3 linked regions of the Caenorhabditis elegans genome follow. The protein of the gene in region 3 interacts with the protein of the main gene of each other region in a pairwise test. Each region holds a gene or a part of one and is shown on either strand. Other genes may lie near its edges. The genes, in order: rpn-7, sex-1 and memi-2.

Evidence for each region.
Region 1: the proteins of memi-2 (region 3) and rpn-7 interact in a two-hybrid assay, tested with the Caenorhabditis elegans proteins (2 studies listed by BioGRID).
Region 2: the proteins of memi-2 (region 3) and sex-1 interact in a two-hybrid assay, tested with the Caenorhabditis elegans proteins (2 studies listed by BioGRID).

The regions. Positions count from the first base shown.
Region 1 is NC_003282.8:9,314,082-9,320,920, forward strand, and holds rpn-7 (26S proteasome non-ATPase regulatory subunit 6), read left to right. Parts: upstream 1-2,557; 5' UTR 2,558-2,561; coding exon 2,562-2,624; intron 2,625-2,669; coding exon 2,670-3,512; intron 3,513-3,562; coding exon 3,563-3,889; 3' UTR 3,890-4,149; coding exon of another isoform or gene 4,150-4,278; 3' UTR 4,279-4,323; coding exon of another isoform or gene 4,324-4,449; 3' UTR 4,450-4,495; downstream 4,496-6,839. Other genes in the region: F49C12.9 (UBA domain-containing protein), read right to left, coding at 889-1,128, 1,236-1,673, 1,721-1,821, 1,888-2,026; nemt-1 (Methyltransferase type 11 domain-containing protein), read right to left, coding at 4,150-4,278, 4,324-4,449, 4,496-4,614, 4,658-4,776, 4,822-4,951, 5,001-5,205; F49C12.11 (Translation machinery-associated protein 7 homolog), read left to right, coding at 5,311-5,382, 5,710-5,797, 5,851-5,885; F49C12.12 (Ribonuclease kappa), read right to left, coding at 6,310-6,430, 6,781-6,839. UniProt on the Caenorhabditis elegans protein: Acts as a regulatory subunit of the 26S proteasome which is involved in the ATP-dependent degradation of ubiquitinated proteins.
Region 2 is NC_003284.9:10,198,896-10,207,761, reverse strand, and holds sex-1 (Steroid hormone receptor family member cnr14), read left to right. Parts: upstream 1-2,340; coding exon 2,341-2,514; intron 2,515-2,628; coding exon 2,629-2,821; intron 2,822-3,744; coding exon 3,745-3,893; intron 3,894-4,505; coding exon 4,506-4,647; intron 4,648-5,034; coding exon 5,035-5,231; intron 5,232-5,286; coding exon 5,287-5,821; intron 5,822-5,875; coding exon 5,876-6,003; intron 6,004-6,053; coding exon 6,054-6,140; 3' UTR 6,141-6,433; downstream 6,434-8,866. Other genes in the region: nucb-1 (NUCB1-like N-terminal domain-containing protein), read right to left, coding at 7,613-7,723, 7,775-7,867, 7,916-7,998, 8,160-8,526. UniProt on the Caenorhabditis elegans protein: Transcriptional regulator which is involved in the sex determination and X chromosome dosage compensation pathways.
Region 3 is NC_003282.8:13,397,111-13,403,687, reverse strand, and holds memi-2 (MEiosis-to-MItosis transition associated), read left to right. Parts: upstream 1-3,181; 5' UTR 3,182-3,182; coding exon 3,183-3,662; intron 3,663-3,711; coding exon 3,712-3,894; intron 3,895-3,937; coding exon 3,938-4,129; intron 4,130-4,179; coding exon 4,180-4,362; 3' UTR 4,363-4,620; downstream 4,621-6,577. Other genes in the region: cyp-31A5 (CYtochrome P450 family), read right to left, coding at 1-32, 790-975, 1,550-1,644, 1,696-1,792, 1,840-2,243, 2,290-2,382.

The sequences.
Region 1 (6,839 bases), 4.1 Mb from region 3:
AAAATTAGCAAATTAGCAAAAATTGGGCCAAAAGAACGAATTTTACGAATGCTAGCCAAAAATTGGCCGAGTTGTAATCATAACTAACCAATTCTGACTTTATATACCAAGTCTGTAAGAGTTTTCCTAATTTGTAGAATGTGTTTATAATGCGAAATTTGAATCGCATAGGGAACAGATGAATGGGTGCAAAACTGATAGAGGAAATACGGTAAATTTTTACCGAACGGACCAGGAAATGTTTTTTTATTTTCAAAAAAAACAATAGGTATGGAACAAATTTGTTGATTCTGCGAAAAAATATTAATTGCGCCTACAGTACCACTACAGTAACCCAGCAGTATCACTCCGCCAACTCCAACTCAGTATCCCGTCAGAAGAAAGCAACACAGATTTGCTAGAACTACTCGAGCATAAACTGAAACTGTGGCCTATCTAATTTTATTTAATTGATAAGTACAATTGTTAATTTCTAGAATGTATGATACTATAAAAAATGCATTTTCAACTCGTTGTAATAATCACTATAAGAAGTAGTAAAAAATATGTCCGTAGTAAAAGAGTATTTGCCGATGTACTGGACTATTTTGTATTTTTTTTTGAATCAGAAGCGAAGTGAATATTGCCATTCCCAACCCCAGGGAAATAAGTTGTTATCCGATGTTATAGTGACCCAGAGACACTAAATAAGCAGAGAAGAGTTTGTAGAAGAGTGATTTAGACGAATAAACGGTGATTTCATTTCACTGCTTTATTTTAAACAGATATGAGATTATTTTAGCCCTATTGACGAATGAATAGGGCAATTTGAATGCATTAAAAACGAATTATGAACACTTATAGACAGAAAAAGTTAATGAGAAGACAGAATAAAACCATTGGTGTAGATTAATTTTGGAGATCAATAAGAAACTCCATAGCCGCTTGCACATCTCCATTCGCCTGTTCGAGAGCCAACTGAATGAGCTCATCATTTTCAAATCCAAACTCGCGGAGAGTCGCAGCTTGTTGTTCATATCCTTGCTGCATTGGCTCTTCTTGCTGCTGTTGCGCTGGCTGGACATTGGCGGGAGCTGGAACCCGATTTGCCGGAGGAACTGCAATGTTTGCCAGGGCTGCTTGGAGAGCCTGAAAAAATTGGCATGGAGAATTTAGTAGAAATATGTATTCAACTATTATTATATTTCAATTATTCTTTTCGAATTATGAGAATCAGTGTGTCCAAGAAATCTTACATTTTGAAGCAACGCATGAGTAACCGGTTGAGCACCTCCAATTGGTCGCTGAGCTGCAAGCATTCCTGGTCTATTTCTTTCCACGTTTGCATAATCAAGGTTTTCGTATCCGTAACGAGATCCTACTGTCGATAGAATATTTTCTACTACTTTCAAGAAATCGGGATTCGTGTACATGAATTGTCCCCGAATTGGATCATCTTTGAAATCGTTCTGAACGCAATAGGCACGGAATAATGACCAATCACTCAGAACAGATAAAAATTGATTATCATGAACCAGCTGTGGGTGTTTCTCAAGAAGCGTTGTCATGTGATCTGGAAGTGCAAAGTCGTGGTTGAAACCATGAAGCCGACGATCATTTGGGCGTGTATATGGGGCGGTACACTCCTTGAGAGCAATACTGATTCGATTTTTTTGCTCTTCTTCGATGTGGTTCTGAAAATCTTAAAATTAATTTGGGTTTCAAACGGAAAAAAACTGACATTTGTTTTAAGCGGTGGAAGCAGCACGACTCTGATTGAATCAGCATCAGTAATCTTTTTTAGGCTCTCTTCATTCAATGCTCTTCCGTTATAAATCAAACCTGAAAAGTGATTGATTCGATAATTGAAGAAATAAATATGATCGATAATTGAAGAAATAAACTTACGGAAACGTTCAACGTTTTTTTGGTCTTTGAATTCGGAAGTACTTTCTGATAAATGCTTGAAGAATTGGATCTGTCCAGTAGAAATTATCTCTTCGATCGGGACTTCACGGCAGGTGGTTTTTAAATGCAATTTAACCATGTTTCTCAATACAACGGGATGGCGGTTGAAAACTGAATGCGAAACAAATGCTCCGTTTCCTGCGTTCAAACGCTAATAACGAGAGCGCTCGATAATGAAAGGATGAATAAAACCGTGCGGCGGAATTGCGAAAGCATGCGCCGCGTATTGCAAACCCTTGTCATCATCCCCGCCCACTTTTATTCGTCCCATTTTGAATTTTTCCCCCAGTTTTCTTGAATTTTGATACGGTTTTGTCTGTTTATGCACTATGAAATAGATATTTTAACGTAGTTTTCACTGTGCCGCTCACTGTAATGTAAAATAAGGCACTATTACGAATTTAAAATAGATATCAACGCTTATTTTCAAAAACTAACAAACTAGACACTAAAATTAATACCAAATCTATATTTCGATAATTACAGCAAATTTAATGAAAACTAACTAAAATGCTATTTCACGTTTGAAATACCATTGAACAGTTTTATTTCCGTTTTGGCCGCTTTTTAACGTTTGCTACAATTTCAAGTGTTCATATTTCATTTTAAGGAGGATGACAGAGGCTGCCAAAAAGAGCACGAAGAAACCCGTAGATGATGGAAACTTCGATAAGGAGGTACGGATCAGTAGTTTTGAAATCATTCAAGTTCAGAGTTTTCAGATCATTTCAAGATGGCCTGATCTTGAGTTATCACAAACCAGATTCATGCTCAATCATCCCGAAGTAGACAGCAGCGTGAAAGAAGCCAAGCTCGAGAAGCTTCAGGAAACTATCAAAGAATTCGACATGGCGCCATTCTACGAGCTTGTCTGCGCTGACTTCAAAATTGTCGTAGATGCAACACAATTGGCTGCAATGAAAGCAGCTAATCAGAAAAAGATCGATGAAATCACCGCAGAAGTTGAAGACGCGGAGAAGAACCTTGGCGAATCTGAAGTGCGTCAGGGATTACTCCGCAAGTTCGAGTACTACTGTCAGATCGGTGACAAAGACAACGCTCTGAAAGCGTACACAGCCACCTATGAGAAGACAGTCGGTATGGGATATCGTATTGATGTAGTTTTCGCCATGATTCGTGTTGGACTTTTCTTCCTCGATCATCATCTCATCAACAAGTTTATCACCAAAGCAAAAGAACTTATGGAGCAAGGAGGAGACTGGGAACGCAAAAATCGCCTTCGATCCTACGAAGCGCTTTACCGAATGTCTGTTCGTGATTTTGCTGGAGCCGCTGATTTGTTCCTTGAAGCTGTGCCAACATTCGGATCATACGAGCTCATGACATATGAAAACTTGATTCTCTACACTGTCATCACCACAACCTTTGCTTTGGACAGACCAGACCTTCGTACCAAGGTTATTCGTTGCAATGAAGTTCAAGAACAGCTGACCGGAGGGGGACTCAATGGAACATTGATTCCAGTTCGTGAGTATCTCGAATCATACTATGATTGTCACTACGATCGTTTCTTCATTCAGTTGGCCGCTCTTGAAAGCGAGAGAGTAAGTTACTAAAACAAATCTTGTATTTTTCACTTATCGTTATATTTCAGTTCAAGTTTGATCGCTATCTATCGCCACACTTCAACTATTACTCTCGTGGAATGCGCCATCGCGCTTACGAACAATTTTTGACTCCTTACAAGACTGTACGTATCGATATGATGGCCAAGGATTTTGGTGTTTCCCGTGCTTTCATCGACCGCGAATTGCACCGTCTGATTGCGACTGGGCAATTGCAATGTCGTATTGATGCTGTTAACGGAGTGATTGAAGTGAATCATCGTGACTCGAAGAATCATCTGTACAAGGCAGTTATCAAGGATGGAGATATATTGCTCAACCGCATTCAGAAGCTTGCCAGAGTTATCAATGCATAACCGAGCCCAGTTCTTCAAACGTGTAAATCCTTTTATTTTACCCTATTCTTCTTCTCCCGTATTATTTCTTTGCGTTAACTCGCTTTGAATCTCCCCACTTCTTCATCATTTCCGGTTGAATGAATTAATTTATTACCATCGCTGTATTTTTAAAACTGTATTCACACTTTCTTGGTCAAATACCAATTGTTTTATTATCTTTAAAATGTTTTTACATGTTATTTAATACCACTTCTTCACTTCTTCACTTCTTCATTTCTTTATTTCTTTATCCACATCGCTGCGATGTAGATCCGCTGTTTATTTTTCAATCGTTCATAAGTTGATGTTCCAGGAGCACAGTACGTTGCTCGCAGCGAGTTTTTGAAGAATTTAACGAAGAAAGGAGCCTAAAATATTTATATACAAATTTTTTAACTTTTGGCCTAGTTTACTTTCTCTAGTAGCCTATCATATTTTCTCGCTGAATATTTTAAGCCCTCAACTACTTCATCAGTGCAAAACTCGAAATGTTTCTTTACAAAACCGGCTGCTGTGGCTGTCTCCTGAATCTGTTTTGCCTGTAATCACTAGCTGTATTTATATAAATTTTACAAGTAGACTAACCTCATGGGGATATCGAATGTCCATGTAGCAGAAGGCACCACCCGATCGCAAAACTCGTGAGCCCTCTTTGAAAAATAGTTTGTAGTCCGAGTAAAGATGAGCTGCTTCCACATTCAAAACTTAATTTCAAGATGTTTTTGGTATTTTTTGATATGATCCTACCAAAATCAAACGAATTATCTGCAAACGGTAAATCTAGTGCATCTCCGTAGACTATGTTATTCATATTTCTAGTGACAACTTTATCACAGCCAATGATGCATTTTGTTGGTCCATGCCACCTGTGTTCCATATTTCTCGTTTTAAAAAAAATGCAAGACACTTACTTTTCTATCCAATCGAGAGAGTACCCTTGACCACAGCTCACTTCAAGAATTTCAAATTGTTCAAAATAAGGATAATTTGGATGCATTGATAATGCTTTTTCATAGAGATAAATATGAGCTCGATCCGACTCTGAACATTTAAATTAACAAGGAAACCTCGATTAGTGTTTTCATTTTACCGTATTCATCTAGGTCACCTAGATCTTCCATGAACATTCTCATTTTTGCGTACTGAGGTGCTGATGATGGCCAGTAGCCCAAATTCATGAAACGAACACCTAACTTTGGTGCTACTATTCTCATTAATGGATACATTATGAATCTATCAAAAAACCAAAGCCATAACTGTAGTAATAGAGAGGAAATGTGAAGTAGGAGATTCATAGTGAATATGTGTTTACGAGTAAATGTATTCTTGTACAATTATTGTTCGAAATATAATCTTTGTGAAATTAGCTCTATAAAACTCAATTTCAGCCAATCATCATCATGTCCGGACGTCAAGGAGGAAAGGCAAAGCCACTGAAGGCCGCAAAAAAAACGGAGAAGGATCTTTCTGAGGTGAAAATGATGATGATACTAGATATTTTATACTTATCATGGGCGTAATATTGCAAAAAAAAACTAATTGATTAATGAGAGAAGAAATCCAATAGATCAGTTTTTCGTTCAATATTGTCACACTTTTGAGCGTAGGTTGATGAAAACGATAATCTCATATAATTTTTTGAACACTTATCAAGAAATCATGATACTTGGAGGCGCCATGGTTCCGTACACCGAATAGGATTTTAAATTTTGAATGAGTTGTTAATATAAATAGTCATTTGAAACGGTCATAGTGAGAATTTTTGATCCGAAAAATGTATAATAATTTCATGGTTACAGGAAGACGTCGAGTTCAAGAAGAAGCAACAAGAGGAAGCCAAAAAGATCAAGGAGATGGCAGCCAAGGCTGGACAACGTGGACCACTTCGTAAGTTATTTGTTAACAGTAAAATAACATTAAACTATCAACCTGTTTTGCAGTCGGTGGAGGAATCAAGAAATCAGGAAAGAAGTAATTGCCTCGGTCAAATATTATGCCATCTCATCCGCAACCTCTGTTATTAATTCGTCAAATGACTCGTTATTTCATCCATTTCCGTTCCATATTTTACATATTCTTCGTTCCGTTCTGCTCATTCCCTTTTTGATAATTTCAACATCACTATATTTCTACGAATGAATTGTTATCTGAGAATATCAATCATAGAAGGCGAAAATATTCATCACTAAAATTGATTTGGAAGACTTTAGAAACATATACAGGAAAATGAACTGATGGAATGTCGGATGGGACTCTTATGCTACAGAATACAATTATATGGGTGGAAATGAGCACGTCTCTAAAAGCAGAGACGATTTTAAGGGGGAAATTCGAAAAATTATGGATCGCGAGAGAATCAGGATACGACGATGTGAACAATTGATGCAGATATAGAAGGCTCAAAAGATTTGTGCCGTGTTGTATTTATTCTGCCAAAAGACTGCAATAAGAGTAACTGCATAGAGTCCGGCTGCAATCCAACATTGTGTTGCTTTCTCGTTATATTTTGCGTCGATTACACTGAAAAAAAGTTTAAGGAAATTTTTATTTTATATTTGAAGTAATATTGATCAGCTGTTTTTTCTTTAAAAACTATTTCGAAATTTCTTTCAGCAACACTGGAAGATATTTACTGATTTTCAATAAAATCAAGCTATTGATGATTTTTTTCAAGTATTTAGCACTTATGAGCAGACTACATGACACTCGTTTAGAACTATATAAATATTTGTTTGGTGTTTATTGAGATAAGCTTCGTAAACATTTTTATTTTGATGTCGGTAGTATTTTAAGACAAGACTTGAGATTTTCGAAAACTCATAACAGTTGTATTAAATATTTTAATGTTTTTCTACAATTCAAAATCTCACCTCGATGGAACCTTTCCGTGTCCTTCGAAATGAAGATCTGGGAAGAGAGTGACGGCTTG
Region 2 (8,866 bases), on a different chromosome or scaffold from region 3:
TTATGTTTCCACTAATACCAGATTTACACTTTTGGGAAGTGCAATAGAAAACCATGTTGTTTTGCTCTAAGATTGAAATAGCTTGAAATTTAATAACCGATCCTTGATTGAAGTTGTCTTAGATATACATCCAGATCAATATATTTTTTTTGCGATTTTTATATTTTCTTAATTCAAACAGTATGAATATTAGTTTCAGTGTTTTTAACACTTTCAAACTTTCTATCCCTTTAAAACAACTGAAAACACAGAACATAGTTTTTTCTATTACAAATAATCATTATCAGTTAATTATGCCCCTTTTACGGACCATGCATTGCACTATCTAATCAACTTCATCGGTTAGATAATGTTTTGTGTCATGGAAAACACTTTCCCTTACGTTTTTCCTGATGATTTTTATCTTGCTTATGTATCTTAAATCGTTAAGAGTAGAGAAAAATGAAACAGCTGTTTTCTTTTTTTTCTTGGAAAAATGCCTGTGTAGATGGAAGAACATGGTGCAATAGAAACAAATTTATGAATTGTTCAAAAATTCGTCATTTTGAAGAAAGTACATCGACAGATGCACAAAATTTCGCAGAGAGTCTTTTATGCTTTAACAGTTCCAGCTGTCGTTTTGATGAATTTTCCATAAAGTACAAAGTTAGGGTGAAGTTTATTTGTGAAACGGGAATGCAATTCGTGAACTCATAAAGATTGTGCATGTTACTGAAACGTCTCTTCGTAATAGAAACCGGGGAAAAGGCATAAGTTGCATCATTAAGAGATGTTAGCTAGGGAAAGATGTGCACGAAGGTGTATTGTTATGTCCGAGTGTACAAGTGGAGGACGAAATATTGGTGATCTAGAATTCCGTTAGTAATTTAGATGCCTTACTAGTTACACAGTTCACGCAATAGCCGGCGAGCGTTAATTGTTGAAGTTATGTGCTATATTATGTGCCATTTTTGGAGATATTAATAATATTCACTCTTATTAGAGTATCCTCCCGTCCTATATATTTCATCTCCCAAGTTGTGTATGCGCAAGCGATGTGCACCAATTTTTAAAGGTGGTTGTAAACCGGCAGACCTCTTTCCAGACGGTGTCTTGTTGTGCGCATTCGCCTCTTCTCCTCCCCTTTGCAGACTGTTCATTTCTCGATCACAGTTGTCTCGTTTTTCATCTCCAACAATTGCGGACCACTGCATTGCCTCCTCTTCTCTCTCAGTCCGCACTTTTTTGGATCGATATTTTGTTTTTCATTGTGCATATCTCTAGTTTGTTGAGTTTTCTCTGTGTGATTCTTTGCAACTCTGTAAACATTATTATCTTACTCTTCTCACTACACGTCATCGCTTCCCAACATCTCGTCACTTCTCCTCACCCAAGAGGTGTCAATTCACACCTTAACATGATGGTGAAGTGAGCTCGAGTGGATAGTACTTCATCTCGAGCCCTCCTTCTGTTGCTTTATCTTACCGTCTCCTCTTCCCTAGTTTTTTCCTGTGAGAAAGGCACGCAACCATGCAACACATTGTGTATGGAATATCTAATTGCAAATTGCGCAAGAATTGCCTAGAACAACGCAATCATTTTCTCGGGGGAGAACGCAGTAATCTTGTTCGCTCAAACTATCTTCGTTTATTTTTGTGCGTGATTGTGGACTTGGCTGATCAATTTTTGCATCCATGATTTCTACCAAAAACTTTTAAAAAAAAAATGCACACATGTGTAGTAGCGGCTTAACATGTGAAGGACTATACTAGGTAGTTATAAATTGTATCACATCTTCTCAACCTAGTTGAATTTGTTGGAAACTTCATAATGCTTTTGGAAATTGTTCTATTCAGATCACTTTTGAATTTTAATTTAAGAAGTTGAACACGTTTCTTACTTTCCGGTACTAAAATATCAATTAAAAGGTAAAATTTTACTCTAAAACCATGTGTGAAGCTCACCTCATGCCACCCGTTTTTTTAATCGAAATGTGCTTGCTTGTCGAGCAATCTCCCAGTGGTGCACTCCTCCTCAGCTCCGCCTATCCTCCTCGTCTCTCCCCATCCTCTCACCCACAGGCAGGCATTCAGCGCAGATTAATACACGATACCAGCCTTCCTTATTGCTAGTTAATAGTTCCCTGCTTTAAAAACTAATTGTTGATTTCTAGATTCTAGCTTTCCATGTTCTCTTCATCAAATTGTTATCACGTTTTTCTCGAACTGCTGTTCTTTTCCTTTGTCAGCAGATTTTCCATTTCTTTCTTTTACCTTTCAGATAATTCTCTTACCAATTCTCTGTCTCTTCCCACTGTGAAAGTTGTCCGTTACTGCATTACTCAATAATTTTAATTTTCAGATGAGTTTCGAAACAAAACCTAACTATCTGTTACTGACAAATCCTGACACACCGCTTTCTGTATGCACATCTCCATACTACAGCCCTTCTGGAAAAACAGCTTCAATTCCATCATCAGAGGCAAGCAAACCAGAAGGAACAAATGGTCAATGGTCACATCTTCCGACTGGAGCTGTAAGTTTTTGTCGTCATCATTTTCATATTTTGTTCTGATTTACAAAGTTAATGCGTAGTTTCAAAATAGAAATCCAGGAATTAAACTGAAAACTAAATCTTCTCAATTTGCAGACGTACGTGACGGATGAATTCTCGTCAGAATTCCAAATCCAAAACGGATCGACAGCAGCTCAAAGTGGTAACGCCAACAACTACGCTGACCCTCTCTCACACCGTCGCTACTTCAATAACGTCAATGGGTACAATCACCATCAGTTCTATGATACGGCGTCACAAGCCAGCGTGAGCTCGCCGGCAACAAGTGGTAAGTTAGGGAGTCTATTTCTATCAAAATCTATCAGTAGGTGGGGCATATCATCAAGTGTGTGGTGACAAGTGGCAGCAACATCTACAGCAACACAGATTTTTTTCCTCACCTAAGAACATGTGTCTGAGAAGTGTTGCAAGTTTCCGAGTTTCTCTCGCCTTTTTTCTTTATTTCTCCCATTTAATTGATAGAAGAATGAGAGCAGAGAAAATGAAAAAGTCTAATAGACTTTGCAATCATTCTTCATCTCTTCCCTCTCTGGATCATATTTAGCTCGATAGGGACCAGATCAGTTGTGCTCTGTTCCACGTATCTTCCTGTATTCTAAGATGGCCTACTTTTGTACAACGAAAGTGAAGGCAAGCGGCTATGACGTGGTTGCGTAATAATCTCCAGGTTTCGTCATTTCTTTGGACGTCCGCTGCCAGACCACAGTGATGTATGGGTACGGTAATAAAAGAATGCCGATGGGTGAAAGAAGAGGAGAAGACGAAGTGTAATAAAGGAGGAGAACGTAGAGAACGGTGAAAGAGTGCGATGTAGGCGTGGTAAAAAGACTGTGAGAGTGAGAGAGACAATGAGAACGCATATGCCACAAATCTTGAAGATGTGGCTAAGAGCTTACTGAGTCGCGGAGAGAACGGGACCAAGGAAAACTAGGTAAATACTATCACGTCATCATTGAGAAGGAAACAAATATGGTGTGCACAGTGTACTTCAATAAATTTCACTGGTATACATAGCATGTTAAATCTGTAATCTGCCAAGTTGAGTTAAATTTGTATATTTCTGATGTGTAAATAAGTTTAGAAAAAGAATAAAACAGAAGAATTCGAAGAATCGAAGAAATGTTGTATGACCATATCACCCACTTGAAAATTGACTCTTCTAAAATTTCTTAGATAATTTTACATTTACAGTAACTTCATCGTTGTCTCCTCCTGATTCCTTATCAAATGGTCATACCACTCAACGTCATCACATTGGGAAGGCGATCTCATTTTGCAAAGTATGCGGAGACAAAGCAAGTGGATACCATTACGGAGTGACGTCATGCGAAGGATGCAAGGTAGGCATGAATGGTCCTAAAATGATCACTAATCACGTGGTTCTATTGAATTTAATGAAACCCTTCTCCACTCATAAATCCCCTTCTTGTTCTATTTACGAAACCTATATTTATGACCGTCTTATTTGATTTTTTGTTTTCCCTTATGTTAGACCAAGAGCGAGAGAATGAGCACTTCCCCAACACAAATTGCGCAATTATTTGGAGACTGTGTATTGCTATGTGCATTAAGGACTCTCTTTTCCCATTGTGCGAGTGTCTTGGATGCATACTAACATAAGAGGAACAAGCCTTACTCGGCAAATACATATAATGACGGTTAATAAAACATGGTTGGTTGGTCTGCTGAGCAAGTGCGTTAGATACAAAGAAAAACATCAACTGAACGAGAAAGTTTAAGCGGATAAGATGACTAATTTAAATTTGAATCCCTCATTCTTCCCTTCTTTATTCTTGGTCATTTACACATCACAACGCCCCGCTCACATTTTGAGATTTCAAAAAATGGTTCGACTTCAGCACAAAGGCAGTAAATCCTTTACAAGGGGCGTACTCTTGGCACCGACACGTGCCATCAAATTAGTTTTTTTTTGAATTAACTATTTCTTTCAGGGATTCTTCCGTCGGAGCATTCAGCGCAAGATTGATTACCGGTGTTTGAAACAGCAAGTTTGTGAGATCAAACGCGAGAGCCGCAACAGATGCCAGTACTGTCGTTTCAAAAAATGCCTTGATTCTGGAATGTCAAAAGATTGTAAGTTTGATCAGATAGAAGTGTGCAACAATTTTGTGGTGTCAAACACACCTGACGCAGTTGGCTCAATAGGGTTTACACAAATGATAATTTATTAGAAATCAAAGTCTATTGAGGTTTTAAGGTTTGATCACTGTGAAGCCTCAATAAGCTGAAACGAAAACGATTTCTATATTCGTCATAAAACCTGAAACCATTAGTTTTTCTGAAAACATTTCAAGCTAAATTTTCACATGTTCAAATAGTGTTCTATAGGATTCACAAGTACTCATTAAAAAAAGAAAAAACTCATAAAAAAAAGAAAACCGTACCTGTTTTAAGCAAAAACTTTTTGGAAGACCGAGTTCAAGTTTTTCAAAAAAAATAAAGATTTAAATGTTGTTTCAGCTGTTCGCCAAATGAAGTTCAGAAATGCAATGCGAGATGATAAGAGCCCCGATTCCGTTTTTGTTCCGGAAATCTCAACGCTAGAACGGCAAGAAGAAGTTGACGCCGTATATGAAGCTGTACTCCGAGCACACACTACCTTCTCATTTTACACTGACATTAAAATCCGAAGTATTGTTGCAAGACCATTCAATGTCGTAAGTAACTTTTGGGCATGTTTTTAAAATCATACTAAACGTTAAAATGTTTCAGAGAATCAATGAAGACTCAAAAATGAATCGATTGAATGCCTGGCAGATTTATGCTCATGAAATTGACGTGGACATCAAGGAAGTTGTAAACTTTGTGAAAGAAATTCCAAAATTTAATTTCATTAACGGAAACGACAAAGCAGTTTTACTCAGGAAAAACGCTTTCCCACTCTACTTGCTTCGCATTGTTCGTGGAATGTCGAACAGAGGGCTTATGCTTCGAGATGGAAGACTCATTGACTTTAAGTCTCTTCAACTGCTCTATGGATCATTGGCGGACGAAATGCTTGCATTTGCAAACCATATCATTACAATTGGATGTACAGACGGAGATATTGCACTATTCATTGTCCTTATTCTTTGCCAGCCACTAACCACGGAACAACAATTTTCTACTAACTTCAAAAGTCAATTGCAGTTGCTGGAAATGTTTGATTTTTACAAGAAAGTTCTTTTCCAAAAAATGACATGCCGCATTGACGGATGCGATACATACAAACAACTTATGAAATGTATTCATGAATTGAATCGACTTAGTAAGTTGTATTTCATACTGATATTTTGTTTTATTTTATATCAACTTTTTCCAGATGAGCTACATAAACAGCAACTCAATATTCTTCGAGAAAATTTGTCGTTTTTAAACCTGCCTCCTCTCGTTGTGGAAATGTTCCAACTCTCAACACTTCCGTTGCCTGTTAACCATAACAACCAAGAGGTAATTATTAAGGAGCTATAGATGGGAGGTTAATATTAAACTTAATTCAGAACCAATATACTCCTGCTCCAGAGCATCAGAGCCCTCAACCACAGCAGCCAACGCCAAATCAACAACAGACTCCCGTTCACTGCTAGCCACCTTTGTCAGATTCTCATCCGTTTTCATTCCAACACAATTCACCTTCAAATAATTTCGCTTTAATGTAGTTAAGTATTCAATCTCTCCTTCCTGCCCGTTTCCAACCCAAAAGTCACGTGTCTGATGACTGCTGTTTAATAATTCTTGCAAGGATTGCCACAATCCAGCATTTTGCTTTCTTTCTCAATAATCTTAATCTTTTTTGTCATAAGTATCACAACCAGACGGTTCTGGTTTATTCACGATTGGTATCATTAAAATGATTTCCGTGCTATAAATTTAGTATTTGAAAGAATGCCTTAATAACTTCAATATTGCAGTTTTTAATAACCCTCTGTAGGTCCAGTCCAATCGAGCTCCAAAAATGAAAGGCGTACCGATGTCAATAGAGAAACATTAATTATTTAATTTTCAACGAGTTGTAGAATTACTTTCGTTATTGATTATGAAAACGTATGCGAGTAAAACCAAAAACATCGACATCGAACATCGGAAAAATCGAGACACATGGCCGTCGACCTCTATCAGAATGGCTCCGATCTCGATTGAACTGACTTTTACCTCGAACAAGCAACTTGTCACAGGGTTCTTACTATTCAGTATTCAGCAAAAAGTGAGCACACCTGTATTGACTGAACAATATAGAATAGTTTTGGCTATTCCGTTAGGAGATGTTAATGCATTATGAAAGATTTATTTTTTTCAAGACCAAACGAAGGCATGATTCTTTTAACTTTCCTAAGAGCTTCATCTTCATGCGTTAACTGTGCTAGAAAACAAGAAGTTATGGTTATGAGAAAATTACAGGACGAGTGATATTGTTTTTGAAATATAAAACAGTGAGAATCAAGATTTTCAATAAAACTGTGCTCGCGGGCGATATTCTAACTACAAAATAACTATTTCCAAACGCAAATGTATCATCTTAACCAATGGAGATTCTTGTTTTTGCTTCTTGAAATTAATAATTTCGGTTCAGTGCTGAAACTTTTAAGCTGAAACAAATTTTGACTTTTTTCACGATTGCCGTGACGGAACCAATTAAAATTAGGTTTTTCTTTATATGTTCCGAATGTTTAACTCTTTCACTCGATTCAAATTTTCCAATTATTGAATTGAAGTTTTACGCTGTCTATTCGCAAATCTGCAAAGCTCTCCAAAAGTTTTTTTTTCTTTTTCGCACTGCAATCCTAGATTGGTGAGGTAGTGTTTTTTATTTACTTATTTTCATATATAAAAATATTCTGATAAATGCGTTCATTTCATAATATGCAGTTTTTGTCCGAATTGGGATTAACAGGTCCAATCGACAAAGGAATAGACAGACAAGAAATGGCCAATGACAATTCTGAATGTTTGAAAACCTATTCAAAAGTATACAACCCGGGTTTCGACATTAAGTTACATATTATCTCAACCAAAAGCATTAGCATTTTAAAACAAATTAGAAATCTACAACTGATATAAATTAAATTCCGTATGTTGGATCTTTAGTGTGATCTTGGATGGGTTCATGGTGCACAGGGGGCAAATTTTGTTGAGGTGGTTGTTGCGGTGGTTGCTGTGGAGGTTGTTGTTGCTGTAAAAAGGGTAGTAATTATTGGATTTTCTGAATGTCAGTTTTTGGTACCTGTTGCACAGGCGGTTGCGCATTTTGAACAGGTGGTGGATTTGCATTCACCGGTTGAATTGGCTGTTGAGCAGGGTGAACTTGTTGCTGAGCCTGTGAAAATGTCAAATGATTACATTACTATGTTAAGTAACTTTATACCTGTGGTGGTTGTTGGACAGCTTCTTGCGGATGTTGTTGTTCTGAAGCAACTTGTTGTGGGTCATATGCATGTTCTCCCCATCCTAGTTAAAAATCAAAATTCTAAGTAAGGCATCACTATTGCATTTTTAAAATGTTTTAATAGCTTTATAATTTGAAATCAAAGTAAGCCTGCGTGTTAGTAAAAACTCAGAAAAGTGTTAAATGGAACAAAATGCCTGCTAGGATTAAACCCCAAACTAACCTTGTTTTTGTGCATATTCTCTTTCAAACTGCTGGAGTTCTTCATCCGTATACACTTTCTTCTGTCCCAGATCTTCCCATTCTTCTTGCTTTGGTGGATTTGAATTCTGATTGTCAGAATCATTCAAGAACTCTTGCATAGAGATCATGCGATCCTGATTAACATCAATTTGCTTCATAACGTGCTCTCTCATACGGTACATCTCCTCAGCTCTTTCTTTCATGTCGTCGTCTGGGTTGGTTTCGTTATACATTTTTTCAAGCTCTAGTTGGAAAAGAGATTCCAGCTCAAAATCATTCCAGAAACCATCTCCGTTCAGGTCGTGAAGTGCAAAAAAGGTTTTTGGATCGTATTGATCTTTTTCAAGCTGAAAATTGAAGTTATTGGAGTTTATTTTATTGAGATAAAAATGGTTTTTAAAATAATGAAGTTATAGCTAAATTCCAAATAAAAAACATTATTAAAACCTATTATAAAAGTACGTTTTTCAGTTGTTCAGTGAAAAATTAATAGAAAATATTTAACTTTATACTAAAACACAGATTTATTTTGCTTTCAAACATTATGTTCATTTTATTATTATATAAAAAATCTCTTTGCTCCCTTGTTACACTGTCACTTTTCAAGATAATGACTATGCTGTAAATACTATCATTTTTAGCGATCAGAACCATTATTTTTGGCTGCAATCTTATCTTTGTTGCAAA
Region 3 (6,577 bases):
GGGCGAACGATGATCTCCATTTTTGGACGGACCTGAAAAATTTTAATTGGAATTATATATTTTTTTATAATTTTCAAAGCACCGCCGATTGGGGATTGAGGGGGTTATTTTTCGATTTTTCAGAAAATCGGAAAACGAAAATTATTCGATTTTTCATAAATTAGCTTTAAATTTTGGTCATTTTTCTTCTTTTTTGATGAAAATATTATGTTTTTTCTCTTCAATATGAACAAAATTAGATTTAAAAAAATCATATCTTATGGTTAATTTTCGGAACATTTTGTTTTCGATTTTTCGATTTTCCCAAAAAAAACATCGAAAAATCGAAAAATGACATCCTTGTTGGGGATCACGTGTGTGTCATTTTTCGATGTTTTTCAGGGAAAATCGAAAAAAAATGTTCCGAAAATTAACCATAAAATATGATTTTTTTAAAATCTAATTTTGTTTATATTGATGAGAAAAAATATTTAAATTTATTCTAAAAAAAAAGAACAATTTTGAGCTAATTTTTGAAAAATCGAAATTTTTTTCGAAAAATCTAAAAACGAAAATTTGCGTTTTTTGATTTTCTGAAAAAACAATCAAAAAACCGACACCTTTTTTGGGGATAGGAGAGCAAGATAATATCTATTTCCTCGCAAGAATTTTCTCATTTTGCAATTTTTAATTTCTTCCGTAAATCGGCACCATTGAAAAACACGTAATATTCACTTTTTCACTTTTGTTGTGAATAAATGCGCTTTAAATTAGAAAAATACATTTTTAAGTCAAAACAAAAATTAAAACTTTCTATTACGGGAACACAAAATTCTGAGAATGCGTATTGTGCAGCATATTTGACGCGAGAATGCGAGACGACCTTCCATCTTATAATCGCTATCCTGTAGAGCTTCCTTTCTCTCGACAATTACTTTCTTCGTGAAATCATGAAGAATATGTAGGCATTTTTCATGAGTCCGTCCGTCTTCTGTTCTGAAAATTACAAATTAATTGTTAAATTATTAAAGATGTTTTTTTTCGAATTTTTTCCTTATTAGATTCGAAATTGTCTGAAAACACCGAATTTCATGATGAAACTTCTTGAAAACTTCTAAAAAAAAACGTTATGACGGCTCGAAAAATGACCTAATGTTAGATAAAATTTGAGATTTGACCGGCTTGAAACAAATTTTTTTACGAAATCACCGTCTAATTTTGGGTATACAATTTAATTATCTTGGGTTTACAACTCGATTTAGGTATTTTAAAGTCGATGGACGGCGAGATTTTTAAATTTTTTTACCTAATCTCGCCGTCCATCGACTTTAAAATACCTAAATGAAGGTGAAACCCCGAGATAATTAACTTATATACCCGAAAAAATTAGTTTCCAGCCGCTTGACAATTCGGTCAAATTTCAAATTTTAATTAATTTTAGGTCATTTTTTGAGCCGTCATAATTTTTTTTGAGAAGTTTTCAGACAATTTTGAGTCTAATAAAGCAAAAAAAAATTCGACTACATCATCTTTAATGATAAATTTAAAATTTTAAAACTAAATACCGTACAAATTGTAAATAAATGAATTCCACATCAACGGATTATTTGTTCGCTTTGAAATCAGCTTATTAATTGTGTGCACCGCCCATACATACTCGTTATTCTGAAAAAAAAAACATTTAGAAATTTAAATAGATGGAAGAATTTCCCGAACCTCCGCGAGTTGAGCACCGATAGCTTTTCCCATGGAAGTTTCGCAGATGATGTCAAGAGTGCAAAGGGTGATGACGGAGAGAACATCAACTTCTTCACTGAAATAAAACGTTCGAAAGAGTTATGTAAGAATTAAAATTCTCACTCTGCTACACCGAGGCAACACAATTTCTGAATCAAAATCTTCGATTGCTCGTTAAAAATCGGCAAGAAATCCTTGAGAATATCATAATGGAAGGTTGGTGTCAATAGTTTTCGCTTTGGACGCCATTGTTCCTTTTGGCTCGTCAAAATACTGATTCCAAGCCATGGCTCAAGCAAAACGTATGCGAACCCTTTGTTCAGATGTTTCGTGGAAGAGAAAATAGGTTCAACAAGATCGGCAGAGTAGAGCATAAGACATGGGAATGGACCAATCCAGAGAAGACACATCCGTGGATCTGGATACAAATATCCCATTCCAATCACTTGATTCATGAATCCCTCTGGATCGGGCTTTGTGATGAGTCCGTGACCGACGATTGGGTATGATCGTGGTTGGTTGAGGTGCTGAAAGTTTATTCAATTTATCTTTAAATGAATTTTGCAATCAAACCTTCAAAACTTGACGCATTCTCAAGTGTTTGTAGATAAGCCAAGCAATCACCGTCGCCGAAGCGAGAAGTACAGCGGGGATGATAACCCCCATTGTAGAATCTTCTGAAATAATTTATTTGAGCGAAAAAAACGAGCAAAAAGCGTTGAAAACTCGAGGAAAAGCCTGAAAATCGCAACAAAACAAACGTTTTTTGATTGAAAATTCAAATTTCTCCCACGCTTTGTCGAGACCTATGTGAAAATTGTTATGCGCCTTTAAAGAGTACGGTAACCCAGAAAAGACGAATTTTTTTGAGAATTATTCGTTTCAGCTTTTTTTAAGACGAGCACAAAGCATCAAAAGCGTTTTAAAAATAAGAAAAACGTTTGTTAAATTTTTTCGATGCTGAAAATATTAAAAAATCGCAATAAAAAGAACGAATTATAAGTAAAAAGTCAAATTTAACTTGCGTCGTGGTGATAGCCATGTGAAAATCTTCAGGCGCCGCCTTTAAAGAGTACGGTAGGCTTGAGAAAGTTCTCGAACGAATTTTTGTTGTTTTCTGATATTTAAATCTTGATTTAATTATTAAAAAGTTCCAATCACTGTTAATTTTTCATTAAAAAAAGTGAATAAAACAAATCCAAAAGTATTTATTTTTGAATGAATATTGTAATTTTTATGAATGATCTCCCCGCGAAAAATCAGCGCAACAATTTCATTATTTTAGGCCCAACAAAATTTTTTGATCGTGTGAATTCTTCTTCTTTGCTGATGTATTAAGCTGATGCTCAGAGAGATTTAATGAATCTTTTTCATAGCTTTATCGGTAAATTATTCTTAATCTGCAAATCACTTGAGCACATTGTTTTCTTCTTTTCCATTAATTTTTTACACCAAAATTTTTCAGAATGTCAGCTCCATCTCGCACCGTTCTTCGCGAATTGACAGCGACCAGATACGTGGTCAACTACAACGAAGAAGATCACCTGGAAACCGCTCGAGCCGGTTGCTCTGCCCTCCCACCACAACCCAACATCAATCATGATGTAATTATCGAAGGGCATGGAGAAGACGTGGAGCTCGTCGACGATCAGAACTACCGTTCCCTGCATCGTATCGATGAGACTCCAAAGCTCGTCGACAAGAAGCCGAGCAAGACAGTCATCCGCGATGAAGCTGTCAAAGTGCTCAGAAGCATTCAAACAATGCCGATTGAAAGTCTTCGTCTCAAGCGCTACGACTTCTTCTCGCAAAGATGGTTCAACACGACCAGAGAATCGGAGAAAGCGCTTGTCGAGCACGTGCTCCTTCATCCCAATCAGCGACCACACTATTTCGCCGCTCAGTGCCGCATGCTGTTGGTCGAGGATATCTCCAGTTTGATTCTGGTTAATTTCTTGAGAATATTTTTCCTGAAAGAATTAAATTTAATCTCAGACTTCCTTCCTGGCCGAGCCGAAAGAGACGGGTCAAAATGTGGTTCGATTCGCGATCCAGGCAACGACTGAAATGCCATTCCATCTATTGTTTGCTATGCTCGAACAACTGGAGATGGAAAACGAAGGATTCCAGATGACAGACAGCTTTGTGGTGGCAACGTTGAACCGATCACAGGGCAGAGTACGAGAAACAGTTTTCTGTTTCATGCCAATAACTTTTTCAGACTACCACTCGTCACCTGCGAACCACAAACTGCCGGGAATACGGAAATCTCGAGCCAGGACTCGATTCACAAGGCCGACTGATGGCCTCGACTGCATCAATCACGTGTTCTATCCGAGGAAAGCGCCACGTGGAAACGAGGATCGTGTACAATAACAACTCGAACGCCAGGAATACTTCAGGGAGAAGTAGAGTGAGTTGAGCAGCAATAAAATCTCGATTTTCAATTTATGAAATTTTCAGTACATCGAATTGGAGCAAACAGTGAAGTGCAAGAACCGACGTGTGCTGATTGTCGAAGATCCAGTCGAAATCCACGAATTTGAGATCGAAAAGGACATGATCCCGCTGGGAAAGGGAATTGTGCCAGTCGAGGACCTGATCACGTTCCTCGAGACATTCAAACTGGATGAAGAGGACGAGTAACTCCAGACATATGTCCTATAATTTGTAATGTACATAATTCTGTATTATTGTATCAGTGGTTCTTGTTGAATATATCAACTAACTTTCCCCTTTATTTTATTTTCCTTTTTTGTTTTGGTCGTTTCCTGTATATAGATTCTCCGCTGCCCCAAACTATTTTGCTTATGTTTAACATGTATATTGCTTGAATTAACATTGCCAGAATATGAACTGGTTGATTTTGCAATCTTTTTAACGATGAGATGAATTATATATTACATTCAGTAGTTGTCTTTATAATATTTGGAATTTAAATTACTTTACTCCAAAAAACAACTTCTTTTTACTTTACTCCAAAAAACAACTTCTTCCGGTTACTCATATCCGTTTCTCCACACTCACCTTTGATCGTTTTCCAACAACTTTTCCTCCTCTCTAAATTTTGTTCGAGTTCTCACTCTCACCACGTGCGGGGCTCCAAATAACAGCTGCTGCCTCTGAAATGTCATCGCGAGGCTAAAGATTTCCATTTCTCACAAAATTTGCCGTTTCGGCATATAATCTGTGCTCTGTGTTGGCTGGCCGACGATGATTGAATTGGCTCATTGGCTCATTTATGCGTACTTGTGAGTTTTAAAAATGGTTTGCCGGTTTGCCAATTTGCCGGAAATTTGCCGGTTTTCCAATTTTTCGGAACTTTTCAATCCCGGCAATTTTCCGGAATTTTTCCGGTTTGCCAATTTGCCAAAGCTTTTCAATTCCTGCAGTTTGCCGGAATTTTGCCGTTTTGCCAATTTGCCAGAACTATTCAATTCCGGCAGTTTCCCGATTATCCGGAAATTCGCCGGTTTGCCAATTTCCCGGAACTTTTAAATTCCGGCAATTTGCCGATTTGCTTAAAAATTGCCTGTTTGCCAATTTGACGGAGCTTTTCAATCCCGACAAATTTCCGATTTGCCGGAAATTTGCCGGAGTTTTTCAAGTTGCCGATTTGCCAGAATTTTGAAAATTTTCCGGAGCTTTTCAATTCCTGCAATTTGCCAATTTGCCGAAAATTTGCCGGTTTCCCAATTTGCCGGAACGTTTCAATTCCGGCAATTTCCCGATTTTCCGGAAATTTGCCGGTTTGCCAATTTGCCGGAACTCTTTGTTTCCGGCAATTTGACGGAACTTTTCAATTCCGGCAATTTGCCGGAGTTTTTCAAGTTGCCGATTTGCCAGAATTTTGAAAATTTTCCGGAGCTTTTCAATTCCTGCAATTTGCCAATTTGCCGAAAATTTGCCGGTTTCCCAATTTGCCGGAACGTTTCAATTCCGGCAATTTCCCGATTTTCCGGAAATTTGCCGGTTTGCCAATTTGCCGGAACTCTTTGTTTCCGGCAATTTGACGGAACTTTTCAATTCCGGCAATTTGCCGGAGTTTTTCAAGTTGCCGATTTGCCAGAATTTTGAAAATTTTCCGGAGCTTTTCAATTCCTGCAATTTGCCAATTTGCCGAAAATTTGCCGGTTTCCCAATTTGCCGGAACGTTTCAATTCCGGCAATTTCCCGATTTTCCGGAAATTTGCCGGTTTGCCAATTTGCCGGAACTCTTTGTTTCCGGCAATTTGACGGAACTTTTCAATTCCGGCAATTTGCCGGAGTTTTTCAAGTTGCCGATTTGCCAGAATTTTGAAAATTTTCCGGAGCTTTTCAATTCCTGCAATTTGCCAATTTGCCGAAAATTTGCCGGTTTCCCAATTTGCCGGAACGTTTCAATTCCGGCAATTTCCCGATTTTCCGGAAATTTGCCGGTTTGCCAATTTGCCGGAACTCTTTGTTTCCGGCAATTTGACGGAACTTTTCAATTCCGGCAATTTGCCGTAAATTTGCCGGTTTGCCAATTTCTCGGAAGTTTTCAATTCCGGCAATGTGCCGTAAATTTGCCGGTTTGCCAATTTGTCGGAACTTTCCAATTCCGGCAGTTTGCCGATTCGCCGGAACTTTTTAATTCCGGCAATTTACCGGAAATTTGCCGGTTTGCCGGTGTTCCGATTTGCCGGAACTTTTCAATTCCGGCAATTTTCCGGAAGTTTCCCGGATTTGCCAATTTGCCGGAAATTTTCCGGTTTCCCAATTTGCCGGAACGTTTCAATTCCGGCAATTTACCGGTTTGCCAATTTGCCAAAACTTTTCAATCCCGACAAATTTTCGATTTGCCGGAAATTTGCCGGAGTTTTTCAAGTTGCCGATTTAC